Oryza sativa Japonica Group: one gene and its partner. The protein of the gene in region 1 interacts with the protein of each later gene in a pairwise test. Links are inferred from orthologs where the notes say so. Each region holds a gene or a part of one and is shown on either strand. Other genes may lie near its edges. The genes, in order: probable chromo domain-containing protein LHP1 and histone-binding protein MSI1 homolog.

The links.
Region 2: the proteins of probable chromo domain-containing protein LHP1 (region 1) and histone-binding protein MSI1 homolog interact in binary tests that used the Arabidopsis thaliana proteins (3 or more experiments, as listed by UniProt). The link is inferred for Oryza sativa Japonica Group from reciprocal best matches to the Arabidopsis thaliana genes TFL2 and MSI1.

The regions. Positions count from the first base shown.
Region 1 is NC_089044.1:9,454,929-9,462,654, forward strand, and holds the start of probable chromo domain-containing protein LHP1, read left to right. Parts: upstream 1-3,411; 5' UTR 3,412-3,507; coding exon 3,508-3,890; intron 3,891-6,440; coding exon 6,441-6,527; intron 6,528-6,626; coding exon 6,627-7,295; intron 7,296-7,618; coding exon 7,619-7,679; intron 7,680-7,726.
Region 2 is NC_089037.1:25,488,106-25,495,824, forward strand, and holds the start of histone-binding protein MSI1 homolog, read right to left. Parts: upstream 4,956-7,719; 5' UTR 4,849-4,955; coding exon 4,492-4,848; intron 843-4,491; coding exon 516-842; intron 1-515. Other genes in the region: kxDL motif-containing protein 1, read right to left, coding at 5,884-5,989, 6,092-6,244. UniProt on the Arabidopsis thaliana protein: Core histone-binding subunit that may target chromatin assembly factors, chromatin remodeling factors and histone deacetylases to their histone substrates in a manner that is regulated by nucleosomal DNA.

The DNA of each region.
Region 1 (7,726 bases):
GGGTTGGTGGTGATGGGGTGGAGCAGGTACAAGTCACGTGATCTTGTTTTTCTATTTTTGTCGAGCTTTCTTGACTGCCAAGATTCGTTATTTGTTTGGGCTGAGAAAGTTTCATTTGATCCATAGTATCAATAGGCCTTTTAAGAAAATCTTTGTTTATTTTAAAATTTGTGTTGGCCCAAAATGATGTTTTTTTTGGCCCATACGTTATTTTTAGTTTGATTGTACTCCCACTTTGATGTTTGCTTCATTATTAGATTCTGCCGTTGGATGCTAATCCAAGGGCTCAGAAATCTGACAAATTTGGGGCCTGAAAATTTATCGAATGATGTGTAGAGAGACCCATAGTAGATGGGTTTGAAGTGTGATAAAGGATAAATTATTTGATCACGTGGGCTTGAAGAGTGATTAAGGATAAAGTACTGAACGTGCTAGCGTATGGATACCCGGTGCGAGGATGGAATTGAAGGAGGACGATTGCGCTTCGCTTTAAATCTTGTATAGAAATAAATATTTCAAATGTTTAATATTTGCTACATGTTGGATGTTGCTTGTGACCCCACCCTTTCTTGTAACAGTCACGTTTCATCTTTCACTAATAATTAGCTGTAGATATGAGCACATATACCAAGACTAGAAATTAAACTTCGGTGAGAATATTCTATCATTAGAAACCTCACTATTCTATCATTAGAAACCTAACTAATTGAGCTATGCACACTTCACTTCTAAGGCTGAGTTCCCAACTCACTCTCCTTGTTTTTCGTGCGCACGCTTTTCAAACTACTAAACGGTGTATTTTTTTTTCAAATATATATATATATGTCAACATTTGATAGTCACGACTAAGGTATTTGGATGGTATGGGGATCGTTGGTACAGGGCATATATGAGATTGAGGTAAAAGAGATGGAGACAGGGATTTTTATACATGTTCGGGCCCCTCATCTTACAGGTAATAGCCCTACATCCTGTTGGCCGAAGCCGGTGTTGCCCTTTATTCATCTGGATCACACAAATACAATATTTGGGATAATCTATCTATCCGTCATCGACTTGACGGCTAGATAATCAACTCGTAGTCGACGACAGGGTAGTCTTCCTCCTCGAATCAGTACTCGGCGAGATCAGAGACGACGCTGGATCCCTCTTGCCGGCCTCCGTAGGTACCGGATGGGGTATGGCTAGACTAATATCTGATGTCGAGATCTGACGGCGTATTGGCTTGTGGCTTTGTGGCGTCGTAGATTGTGGTGGGTCTGTCCCCTCTTCTCCTAGGGGGCTTGTATTTATACCCACAGATAACCCATTGTCCAAGTAGAACTAGGGAGATAAATATGGATACGATATGAGTAGTCCTTGTCGTTTCCATATAGAACTCTATTCATCATTCCTTATCCGGAACTCCTTCTATATATGAGGTTTGATTCCATATAAGACATGGTATATGGTGGGCTCTGCTGAGCTTAGTCGATTACTATTGGGTATGTGGTATCCATAACCCTGACAATATATATATATATATATATATATATATATATATATATATATATATATATATATATATATATATATATATATATATATATATATATATGTGAAAGTTGCTTGAAAAAAATCATATTGATCCATTTTTAAAAAAAAATTAGCTAATATTTAATTAATTATATTTTAATGGATCGCTCTGTTTTTCATGCGAAAGGGATTTGCTTCCAACAAGAAGTAACAAACACAGCCATATTGATTCTCCTTAATAGTTTTGAGAATTGATATTCTTGCGGTTGTAACTTTTGTCGATAAACATTTGAATATATTAAAATATATACGTCGATTATGTTTTGTTTACTCTCCTCCCGTGATATGCAAGTTAAAAACGTAGAGACTTATTTTTACATAGCTTCGTGCCCTCTTTGGAGTGATATAACGCTATGTCTACTGTTGTGATTGATATATGGAAACACTATGGTTATAAGGATGTACTCCCTCCGTCCAAAAAAAGACAAACCCTGGCTTTCCGTGTCCAATTTTGACTGTCCGTCTTATATGAAATTTTTTTATAATTCGTATTTTCATTGCTGTTAGATGATAAAACATGCTTAATATTTTATGCGTGACTTGTCTTTTTATTTTTTTCATAATTTTTTTAAATAAGACGGACGGTCAAATATTGGGCACGGAAACCAGGGTTTATCTTTTTTTGGACGGAGGGAGTATATGTACCTAATCTATACCTATATAGACCTAATCTAGACCTGTCAATTAACCTCATCAGGGATCAGGGATTTAGATAAACTGGATTGTTCAAGGGTGGTTGGCGGAGCAGTTGAAAGAGGTCTCCTTGGCTTCGCTCGATGATTGATACTTGATAGCTCGTAAGTGATTTGATTTAATGCAATCATAATATAGGAATTTATAGGTCACTTTGGGCTAACCAGCGCATTAGTTGGCATTGTGAGATACCTTTGGCAGGGATGGATTGGTTTCTAAATCTAGTTCTATGAAAAAAAAACTTATTCTTGTTTTATTTTCTCATATAGTTCCCTAAGGCTGAGTTCGGCACTAAGAGTTCCCAACTCTCCTCTTTCATTTTTCGTGTGCACGTTTTTCAAACGGCTAAATGATGTGTTTTATTTGTAAAAAATTTCTATAGGAAAAATGCTTTAAAAATTATATTGATCTATTTTTTAATTTTTTTACTAATACTTAATTAATCACGCGCTAATAAACTACCTCGTTTACCGTGCAAGAGGGGAATGTTCCCAACTATAACGAGCGAATGCAACCTAAGTTGTTTTACTATGCCTTGTCAACATTCAACCCCTCCAATAGACTTTGTGATAGCATCTTCTTTTTTTAGATTTCTAGTTGCCCACAATTATGCTGGATTTTGTAGAAGTACACTACGTACATTTATGTATACTCCCTCCATACTCGTAAAGGAAGTCGTTTTGGACAGCGACACGGTCTCCAAAACACAACTTTGACTTCTTAGTTTCTATAAAAATATTTATTAAAAAGTGATATATGTATACTTTTATAAAAGTATTTTTCAAGACAAATCTATTCATATAATTTTTATATTTTCAAACTAAATAACTTGAGAGTTATTCATGATTTATATTCCCAAGGTTTGATTTAAACATTATTTTAAACAATTTCTTTATGAGTACAGAGGGAGTACACGCTTTACTGAATTATATTATTACAAGTGTGATGAATCCAATCTAAATGGGTAGGATAATAACACCATCGTTTGGGTGAAAACAGTACCAAATCCCAAGTGGTAAATACCATAAAAGGCCCTCCCTTAGTCCCTTATACTTTTTTGTTAAGAAACACGATTAGCACATAGTACAATCCGGAGGGCAAAACGGGAATATAAAAATCGTTCTGTGCGGGCAGCCGCGGCCGGAGCTTTCTTCCCCGTTCCGTGGCCGCTCCACCAAACGGGCCAAAAGGAACCAAAATCAGCAGAAAAAGATCCATCCGAGAAAGAGAGGAGTAGCCATGGCGCGTGGGAAGAATCACCCGGACGGGGAGGAGGAGGAGGCGCCGGCGGCGGCGGGGGAGGAGGAGGCGCCGGTGGAGATGGACGAGGAGGGGGAGATGGAGGAGGAGGAGGAGGAGGAGCAGGGGGAGGGGGAGGGGGAGGAGAGAGACGAAGGGGAGGAGGAGGAGGAGTGGGAGGATGCGGAGGAAGTGGAGGGGGGAGAGGAGAGCGAGCAGGCGGCGGCGGAGGAGGAGGATTCGCCGCTGGTGGTGGTGGAGGCCGAGGCGGCGGCGCCTGTGGTGGATGGCTCCCCGCCGAAGCTGGCGGAGGGGTACTACGAGATCGAGGACATCCGCCGCCGCCGCCTCCGCAAGGGGAAGCTCCAGTACCTTGTCAAATGGTGAGATCGCTTTCGCTTCCTCTCTCTCACGCCCTTCCGTTTTCTCGCGAATCCATGCGCGCTTTCTAGCACGGTCGAAGTTGAAAGGCGTAATGCTGGATTCTAGGATTGGGTTTTCCGATCCCCACTCGTAATCCCTGCACGGTTCTTGCAACAGTGTGAAGGTGTAATGCTGGATTCTTGGATTGGGATTCTCGTAGTCCCTGCACGGGCTCTAGCACTCGGTAGAAGGTGAAGGTCGTAATGCTGGATTCATGGATTGGGTTTGTGTGCTCAGCATCCGTAGCTTTTGGGGTTTAGGTACTGTTTGATTTGCTAATGTGCCTTGGATGATCCACATTTTGGTTTAGGCTCTGATGACCAGATTGCGCTAAGTAGCCAACCATGTAGTTAGAGAGCCTTCACAGCTAGGGACGAAAACGGGTCAGATTTAGACAGATAATAGTTGTACTTTATCGTATTACCATACTTTTTTTGTTGGATTCAGATTCGGCTCTGATGATCTATGGATGCTGATATTGAACGGATTGTTTGGGATGCTATAAATGGCACGGATATGGAACGTAGTTAGGTTGCAAATAGACCAAAGCTCTCTGGTAGTGTGTACATGGTGATATACAAGAAAAAGTAAAGAAGAACATTACTACATTAGTGGCTAGGAATGTACCAATTGAGAAGCAACTATCAGCCCAAGCAGCACAATAAGAGCATCAGCTAGTAGTGCTACTGTGCAACAAAGTAGCATCAGCCAGCAGCAGGTGCTAAACAGCACAATGAAAGCATCGTGCAGGAGCTGCAGGTAGTACCCACTATCCCAGAAGCCAAGCAGCAGACAGTAGACTAGATTAACTTTGAAGCCGTGGGAAGTTGGTCTAGTACCCTAGTTTATCGGATTATCTAAATAGATCCTTGTCGGGTTATCTGCTAAAAAATGTCTGTTAATCCGTATCTGCTGGATTTTGGAATAGCATATCTGCACCTACAACTATTGTCTGAATCCGTATCATCCGATTATATATATAAAAAACCTTTCACCATATCCTTTTCCAAACAGATTTGGAGGCGGATTGGATATATCCAATATACTTCCATCCCACAGCCAAGGCATAGATGCAATTTCAGGGGCATGGCTGCTGAGCTGATAGCCTGTAACACCAGCCTCCCCTACTACACCAAAACAAGAAAACTCCATCCCTTTCCTTTTAATATTCCTATACTGCCAAAAGTGATTCTTGTAATAGCAATGAACCAAATTGGAGCAGCATAAACTGTGCAAACAGGGTTGTGAGAGAGCACATTGTGCTTCTAGGTGAAGCGGTTGAGTGCTGCTGATGGACTCCTGTAGTTGAAAGCATCACTAGCTTACACTCTGAGCTTAGTGGTTTGGAGAATGTGGAATCCATCTGAATCACCAAGGACCACCTTACAAGCTAAATGTTAGTGTTATGTGCTAGTGGCGTCCCAAGGTGGTGAACAGCATAGGGGTTCTCAATGGGAGGGTGGGGCATGGGACCTCGCAGCCCCGGAGCTGTCAGGAAGGATAAGAACAGAGGACTGGAAAGACCAAGAGGAAATAACTTATTGTTTGCCTAAAGTAATTAATCTTTCCATTGTTCCTTTTATAGGAGTCTCACTTAACAAACTCCTAATGAATCTCAAGCTAAGTTATAACAAACAAATCTTTGGCTGCTTCCCGCGCTTGGTTGTAGCTGTGTAGGACAGCCACCTCCACATAACATCTTGGGTGACTTTTATAGCATGCCCTTGTATAATGCTCAAGGCAAGGCTGAGTAGCAGGAACAGCTTTTAATTTGTTGATGCGTTAATAGTATGATGGTGTTTGTCGGTAGCAAGTGCGTGTTGATGTGGACCATGTGGTAAAAGTGCCCAGGTTGAGAATGGCTGTGGACACTCATATTGCCATATTTGGGACAATACACCTCTACGAGTTCGTAAGCTTCCAGATTTAGAGGCAGTAGTGGCTAGAAATCAATCTAGATCCACTACCCACCTCTCCATTGGTTATTTGGCAGCAGGAGCAAGAAACTGGCATTTCCGTTTTACACATGCTCCCTAGTGCACACTGCACATTGCAACTGTTGTGTTTTCTTCATCCTAGCTGCCAATACTGCAACCAACTTACCTCACTGGAGATGATGGATGTATTAACTGCCTTTAGAGCTATGAAGACCAAGAACAGGATTGCGTTCAGAAGAAGCAGCAGTACGGCAGGTACTGGTCAACTTGGTAATGTGTCATGTTCTGAGCTGTGTTCTGTTTACAGGGTACCCTGTAAAAAAACATCTGTGAGACCAGATCGTACTGCAATTTGATTACACCCTCAAATTGATGAACCAAACACTACCTTAGAGCTTAGATATATTCTGAACGCAGCTGATGCTTGTATTTTATTGTTTCTTATATGATTTTTATTCGCTGGCTTGTCTATTGCAGTTTAAACGTTTTTGGCTCACGTGGAAGCTTCTTGTTTTACTCGTTTAGATTTGGTGATAATTCTTGTGTTCCTAACAATTTTATATGATTTGCTAGGCGTGGATGGCCGGAAAGTGCTAACACATGGGAGCCCCTAGAAAACCTGAGTGCCTGCTCTGACATTATTGATGCTTTCGAGATGCGGTATGTACTTGTCACACTTCCGTCTGTAGTTCTATTCACATTTTCAGAAGATAATAAGTAAATAAGATTGATTTGTCCTTGTGGTTGTATGCAATTCAGGTTACAATCTCCAAGGCCCGGTCGGAAGCGTAAGCGGAAGATAACAACTACTCCAGTAGCAGGCTCAAACCCATCTCATGGTAAACGGGGCCGCCCTCGCTTGGATGCTAAGTCCCACACTCGAGCTCCTGCACCAGAACCTAAGCAACTGCCCTGTCGGACAAGTTGTAGGAGAGCGACTAATTGTAGTAGTAAGACAGTTGCAGGGCTTGATGCGTCAGGGAGTGTGGTGAGGAACCAGCTTGCACAGAACATTGTACAGGAGGGTAGTTCCAGTGTGATTTCAAGGACACCATGTCAGGAGCTACCGCTCTCAATTAGGTTGACGGACCAACAAAACGAGCATCACCTTGTGAATGGTTCGTCTAATTCTGAGAACTTAGTGAAGGTACCTCCATCTCAGGGTGGCCAGGTAACTGGTGCCAAGAAGCGTAAATCTGGAAATGTGAGGAGGTTTGAGCAGAATAAACCAACACAAGGACAAGGAGAATGTGGAGCATTAGTGGTGGCTGAGGATGTTGGTTCCACTGAAGGAGAAACTGGCGATAAGAAAAAGACAGAGGGCTGTCCTAACCGAGTTCATATCACCAAGATCATCAAGCCAGTGCGATTTGCAGCAGCTGTGAACAACGATGTGCAGCAAGTTTCAATTACATTCAAAGCACTCAGGTATTTTCTGTAATTTCTTTTCGTAGTTATAGGCCTAAAATTTCTAAATCTCAGACATGTTTTTTTTGCTAGCTGATATTGCTCCCTTTCTGACTACTTTTATTACAAAAAGGAAAGTGACTATATCTAGCAATGAATTATTATTTGGCTACAAATTGAGTGCTTTATGTTTCACTCATTTAGAGATGTCGCAAAAAGAATCCTCTGGTCTCTTCACTAATCAAATAATATATTCTGCATTTTTTTATGACCATTTTTATGTAGTTATTCATATTGTTAGTTTGATATGTTTGAACTGTTTTTCTAACCAAGTGTTTCGACAGGTCTGATGGGCAGGAAGTCATGGTGGACGACAAAGAATTGAAAGCAAATAATCCCTTGCTGGTACATCCCATTGTCTTCTCCTATTACTTGATGATGAGGGAAACATC
Region 2 (7,719 bases), on another chromosome or scaffold:
ATTGTTAGAGGACTGACTAATTGAGAAAGTATTGCACTCTCCAAGAAAGAACCTCAATCAAAACTGCAGTTGGAAAGTTTTACAGGGTAAGCTTTACACAATACTAGATGAGTTATTATGTCACATAGTCAACATACTAGAGTGTTAAACTATATTGCAATTATGATGCTTAAGTAACCGTGAATTATGATATGTAATACAAGATAAATTAAACAGATAATTTCAACACAGCTATCAGTACTCTAGCTTATTGATCTACTATTTAGGCAAAAGAAAGTAGTTTGACTTCGTATTCATTATATACTTGGCTCACACCTTATATGTACTAATACCACCAGGAATCTATTCTACACACCTTTTCTTCAAGCAGACATGGCAAACACATTTATTTATAACATTCCTAACAAGTCCCATGTTTTCAGAGAAACATGGTATCAGAAGCCACAAAGAATTCTTTAATCAACGCTTCTCCATACATTGACTAACACCAATGGGAATAGGATCATGAGACATACCTTAAAAATCTGAAGAGCGTCAAGGGTTTTGTTTTTACTATTTGCTTTGATGTCCCATAAGCAAATTTGAGCATCATCAGATCCACTCAACAAATGGCCCTCCTTAAATATACTCCAAGACAGTCCATATCCTTCAGAGTTATGTCCCTTCAGCCGTAAGTCAGGATTGCATGCACCATCCAATGGAGGCTTTGATGGGTGCTTGCTATAATCAAAGACATATACTTCTGCACTGACTGTCTTGGTAGCAATTATAAATGAATTCTGGGGCATATACCGAGCTCGATTAACCTCTCCATCATGATTTATCTGTTGAACTATTTGCACCTACAAAAGGAAGAAGCCATATGCAATTGTGATATTTGCGAAGAAGGAAACGGGATAAAGAAAGAAGAATACATTCAATGTATTTATCTGTATGCCATCACAGAAGCATTTTTGTTCAAAAATACAGAAATAGCAAGCCCAAGTATGAAGGGAACATTCTAATGCTACCTTCACTCTATGGATGTAACACCTCCCTAGAAAAAGGTAGGTTGCATAAATATTCAATGCTATATAATAAATTTTCATGTGATGCAGATACAAACAAACAATAATAATCGCAATATACAAAGGAAGTAATTAACAGAACTTTAGGGCACATGCACACTGATACTTGTAAAAATGGCATATCAATTCAGTAGAAGAGTTGTATATTCCTACTTCCACCTCTATGATACAATTATGCTCTTCTAATATAGAGTGCAACAGGAAAAGCAATACTACTGTTGATGGGTTATAGAATGATTAAATATCAAAAACAATGTAGTAAGAAAAACAAAGGGGATCAGAATAATAGATTCACAGAAAAGTTAATCTCTTGGTCACACATAACAACTATTATTGCTACAGGTGGACTGATGTAGACAACACAATATATGATATGTGTTATTTCAACGATGAAGAGTTCCTAACATGGCCATAAAATTCTAATGGATACATATATAGATGACATGTGAAGCATGTCATTGGGTTGGCAAGAAACTCCAAGGACATACATGATTTAAAAGAAGAAAACATAACAAAATGGTATGGAAGATTGAATCTCAGAACAGATAAATTAAATTTTCCTTAACAATACAAAACAATTGAAAATCATACACATAAACCCACCGAAGATGGCACAACCTAAATCCCCAATCACAAACAAACAGTAAACATCCTAGTTAGATTCAGATGTGTTTGTCCCTAATTTGATAGAACAAATGCACCTCAATTACTTTGTGTGCATCTAAAAGCAGAAAGAGGGTATCATCCCAATTCAATCCAATTAACCATGGTAGGAAAAAAAAACCCCACAAAATCTCCACTCCGTATTACACACCAAAAAAAGGAAAAAAGGGTGCACAGATAATTGATGAAGGAAGTTCAAACCACATATAGCAAAGCAATCACAAACCAAAGCTCCATTCGTGTAGAGGTACATCACAAAAGCCTAAGAGAGGTACAAACCTTGCTGGATCCTGCACCATACAAGCCACTGTTAGCATCGTCAGATTCACAGTATTCCATATCCTCAACATCACCACAAGGGTATTCTATGTCCTCATCATCATCACAAGATAGTTGAGCTTGTGCAATTATTAGGTAATTGGGAGATTTTTCAGAGTTTTGCGGGTGATGTGTGCCAAGCACCATCTTCTGATGTTGATCCTGACCAGGAAGCCACTGCACGGTACTCAAAGGACACTCAAATTGTTGATGATGCAAAGGTCATAGATGAACGGAATGTTGCACAGCCAGGTCTGGTAAATCTCCTGCTCCTCCCTGGTCTTCATATCCTCCTGCTCCTCCATGATCCTTACCGACATATTCACCATCTTCGTCCCCAACTTATCCACCTTCGTCCTTCCTTTCTCAAACGCCGCCATCTTCATCTTCATATCATCCTGCTCCTCCGTGATCCCTACCAACGTATTCGCCATCTTCGTCCCTGACGTATTCGCCTTCTTCACCCTTCCTTTCTCAAACGCCGCCATCTTCGCCCTCCCTTTCTCAAACGCCGCCATCTTCGCCCTCCCTTTCTCAAACGCCGCCACCTTTGCCCTCCCTTTCTCAAACGCCGCCACCTTCGCCCTCCCTTTCTCAAACGCCGCCACCTTCGCCCTCACTTTCTCAAACGCCGCCATCTTCGCCCTCCCTTTCTCAAACTCCAACATAGAGGATTGAGGTTTCTAGGGTTTAATCTAGAGAGCTTTGATGGAGATATGGCAGGGAGGTCAGGGATTTATTGGCTGGCTGCGCTATCATGTTTGGGCTAAGCCAGATTGGGAATGAGGTCAAGGGGGCCCAGGGACAGAAGAGATTTCTGGCTTCACATCTAGAATTGGGCTTACATGTGGCAAAAATTGAATGGTACGGCCCAATTATGCAGAAAGAGATAATACCATTTGTGCAGGTTCCGCAATAATAGAATTGCACAAAGGCTATGTCAAACTTAGAAGGTTGTAATCCTCAATGCAAATTCAAGCATGGTCACAAAAAGAACCTGATAGACCTATACTATTTCTGAGAGGGGATCAAACAGTTCTCACTATAAAAAGGCTGCAAGAGACAAATCAAAAAGAGAAAACTGAAAAGAAGACTGACCAACAATAAAATAGCAAACATGAATACAAATAAGAAAATGAAAAGGGGACCAAAAGAGAACACTGCAGCTTTTTCACCACGAGAGCTACAATCCAATAGTTGCACAGGTAACGTAAATAACTGAAATATGAAAATATCAGTCCCAAAGGGCTTTGAAGAAAATTTCATCTTTGATTATAAATACATTGCATAAAAAAAGGGCTTAAAATACAAGGATTAATCACCATTCTGGATATTCCTGAAGTCGAGCATTTTTTATAAAAAAAAGAAGAAGAAGACATGGATCAAATATATGAATTCAATCAATAAAATCTTTTCCAATTACCAGATGGGTATACCTTCGACATTATGCTTCGAATATACCAAATGTCACACAAATTCAGCACCGTTTCATAACTACCATAAATGAAAACTTTGTTTCCGTTAGGTGGATCAGACAACCTCAAGGAATTCAATGGTACAGTCTACTCCATCTGCATGGTTGACTAACCCGCAAGCGCCAAACTAACAAAGTAATAATGCACAAGCGCCAAACTAACAAAGTAATAATGCGCAAGCGCCAAACGAATAAAGTAATAACACACAAGCGCCAAACTAACAAAGTAATAACCCACGTGCGCCATAGTGCAAAATCGCGCCAAAGCAGTACGCTATCCTCCTCCAAATCATTTCACCCTCATAAATATATGTCAAGACATACTTACCCATTACGAAACTAAACCTGCAAAAGTCTTTGAAACCCTAACCATCGCCGGCCGCCTGCTATAACCCAAAACACCACCGCCCTGGTATCAGAGTCCATAATTCCAAAGAGAGAAAATCACTCGCAACCGCAGAACATAACTAGTGCCCGAACTAGCCACCATGGAGCAGATAAACATAAATCCCCTCTCGCCTGACTAAACCACCACTCTCCTCGAACCCAATAACACCAATTACAAAACAATTAACAAAGGAAATTCTAACCCCGAACAGAACAGAGCAAGGCGTGCAAAAGTCTTTGAAACCCTAACCATGCACCTGGTATCAGAGTCCATAATTCGAAAGAGAGAAAATCACTCGCAGCCGCAGAACAGGAACTAGCGCCCGAACTAGCCACCATGGAGCAGATCAAAACATAAATCCCCTCTCGCCTGACTAAACCACCAATATCCTCTAACCCAATAGCACCAGATTACAAAACAATCAACAAAGGAAATCCTAACCCCGAACAGAGCAGCACGAGCCCACTGCCTCACCATAGCACAGCATAGCAACAACGACGAGAATTAATTAATAGCGTATAAGAAGAGAAAGGGGGGGGGAGTGGAGGGGAAAAGGGGGGGGGAGGGGGAGAGAGATGAACCTTGCCGGAGGCGGCGCCGAAGCCCCCGATCTCGGCGTGGTCGTCGTCGTAGTGGCGCGCGTCGGCCTCGGCGTCGTCGAGGGGGAGCTGGACCTGGGCGAGCATGAGGTAGTTGGGCTCGTTGTCGGAGGTGTGGGTGCCGAGCACCATCTTCTGGACGGAGTGGTCCTTCCCAGCGGGCTCAGCGCGGTCGGGGAGCCACTGCACGGTGAGGGACGGCCACTCCAGGGCATGGGTGATGACGAGGTCGTACAGGAACGGGGTGTTCTTCTTCCAGATCTTGTACTCCTCGTTGATCAGCCGCTCCTCCACCTCCGCCCGGAACTCCTCCTCCTCCGCCGCCGTAGCCTTCGGCATCTCGCCCCCCGCCGCCGCCGCCGCCGCGCCCTCTCCTAGGGTTAGGGTTTGGGGGCGCGTTGTTGGAGGAGGCGAGGGTTTTGGAATTGGGGGCGGGTTGAAATGGCGGGAGGCGGGGGAATGGATGCGAGACGGATGAAGAGACTGCGAAAAAAAAAAAGGAGAGGAGAGGAGAGAGAGACCGAGAGGGTATAAAAGGGAGGGGGGGACGAGTCTGACCTGACGAAGCGAATGGGGTTTATTAGCGGTGGTGGGCTGGGCCGCTCAATGGGAGGCCCAGTTAGAGGCGGGGGTTGCTGGTCTCGCTGTATATTGGGGGTCCACCTGTAAGTGTAAATGAATTTATGACCAGCTCAGCACTTGCTGCCGTTTCCATGTTTTTTTTGCTGGAATTTTGGCACAACACCAACAGCAGTGACGAATGGCAGGCATTGATTGCCAATCTGTCCCCAGATGGCCAAATCAAAATTGTTTTTATCCTTCATCGCCAGCATCTGTTCATTTTTAACCCCTAAACTTCCTTTTTTTTTTCAGGCAATGTTGTGTCACTAGAGCTTACTTCTTCCGTCCCATAAAAACAATCTGCCCCCAAACGATCAAATCACCTTCTTCCCATCATCTGTTCTTTTTTTACCCCCAAACTTCGATCTTTTTTTTCATTTTTTGGCAATTTTGTGTCCCTAGAGCTTACTCTCTCCGTCAAAAAAAAAACCAGGACTGGTTTGATTTTTATGGAACGGAGGGAGCACCGATAGAAGTAGTTATTTTTAAAAAAAAATCAAGGAAATGCAGCAGCTATGACCGAGCATAGATCCACAAGCAAAAGCGAGAGAGATTGATTGACAACTAATCCATTTATATCACAAAAAACATAGGAGTACAAGGTTACAACTTTATAAACAGAAGCAGCCGTTTCTCAAAGATACATTTTCAGCAAAAGTGCAGAAAGAACAACATTCTTCTTGAGTTCTCAAGATGTCGGAACACAAGAACTCAACCGTAGATCTCATTACCAAAAGGGTACGATAAACTGTTTTAATCAAGAGGACTTTCAAGGTCCGGTCTTTGGTCCATCGTCTCTGCCATTGCGCCAGTAGGAAAAGCATCTGGATATGTTGCCGCTAACCTCGATTTCATGCCTCTACAACATAGACATAAGATATATAGCTTGTTCAGCTGGAAAACTGTTGTACAAATCCAATTCGAATGCACACTGGGATAAAGAGACCTGGAAGAAATGTACCTCAACTTCAGGAAAATATGGTCAAGATCAGCCTTCATGGACTTGAGAAGACGAGTTTTACCAGCAAAGTCATTAGACACCTCCGCAAAGCATTGTTCAGAGTATTCATTAAAATGTGTGAGAACTGCATTACTATCTTGCAATCGTCCCAGTCTACAGAGTAAACAAAAAGAGCGGTACGGATTTCGGTTAGTTGCAAAAGAAAAGGAACAGGACAATTCCTGCAAATCCTACTGCCATGGTACAGAAATTGTATCACTGCGACTAGCATTGCTCATATGTCTAACAAAATACTGCACATTTTGATAGGCAAATTGCTCTCACCAGAAAAGTGAGAAGCAAATCTGAAATCCACCAATTAATGCAAAGGAATCTGTCAATCTAAGAAACATAGTAATATTGTGGTAATGAAGGGAAAAAGCATGCCAGTGATCTGGTTGAACCAATAGGTCAATGCACATTAGTGAGTGCTGAGCAGAAAATATATAGTAATTATTGACAGGTATAATTTGAAAATGCAACATATTCAATGATTTTAAAAATATCTTAAACATCGAATTTTCCAAGGGCCATTTCAGGTGACTAACTCAAAGCACAATTCCAACTATTGTCTGAACTCTTGTTTTAGAATAATGGTTCCAAGTATGCATAGGATGGATGAACAGCATGGCAGTGCAAGACAAAGTACAAGGCGCAAATATCACATCCAGAACCACAAGGGCTCCTACCTTAAAGTGCAACAGAACTGGACAGGTGGCTCGTCAATACAAGTAGCATCAAGAGTTTTGGCAAATGGATCTTACTCCAAGATATCTATCGGTCTACCAAATTTTGTGCTGAACCAGTTGAGGGGCAGCTGAGCGAGGAAGTGAGTTTATATATTTATATGGATGTTTAGGGAAGGAAATTCAAGATGGAAGTGTAGAATTTGGCATGCCATAAAGAGGATGCTACCATGATTATTGACTCTAAAATGAGTGTGGATGTAATGGTGTGAATATGATAATAGTTGATAATTTCAAACAGAACTTACAACTAGAATATTTGATGAGGCATCATTAACAGCACATGTTTAGCATTAATCTTAAGTATTTGTGAAGTATCAATCACTAGCAGATTCCTGATTAGGACAATTACCTTCCTGGCAAACATTCCTACACAAACAAAGGGCTACCAGAAGGGCAACCTCCAAAACTCTCCAGAGGATCTAGTTAATAACTTAATACTAGAAGTAGGCAAGTAATGAAACCTCTCAAAGCACATCAGCATTGCCAAAGCGTATGCATCTCTGGTGAACAAATGCAGCAACTTGCAATAATCCAGTTCCTTATTTTAGGGCACAATAATCCAGATAGCATGTACAATCAAAATTCTAGCAGGTAGTCCAATGTCAAGAATATGGCGTCAATATTCTTTGAACCTATAGAACATCACCTATAAAGGGTTAGGCATCACAGAGTGCATGTGTTTAGCTGTGAGGTGCATACATCAAACCATGCAGAACTGCAATTGCTACAAGAGATTCTAGCCAATATTTGATCAGATTTGTGGACACAATGCAAAACATCAGTTTTCCCTAGCAAGGAGCACACTGAATTTGATTCAACTCACCTAATCAAATAATCACT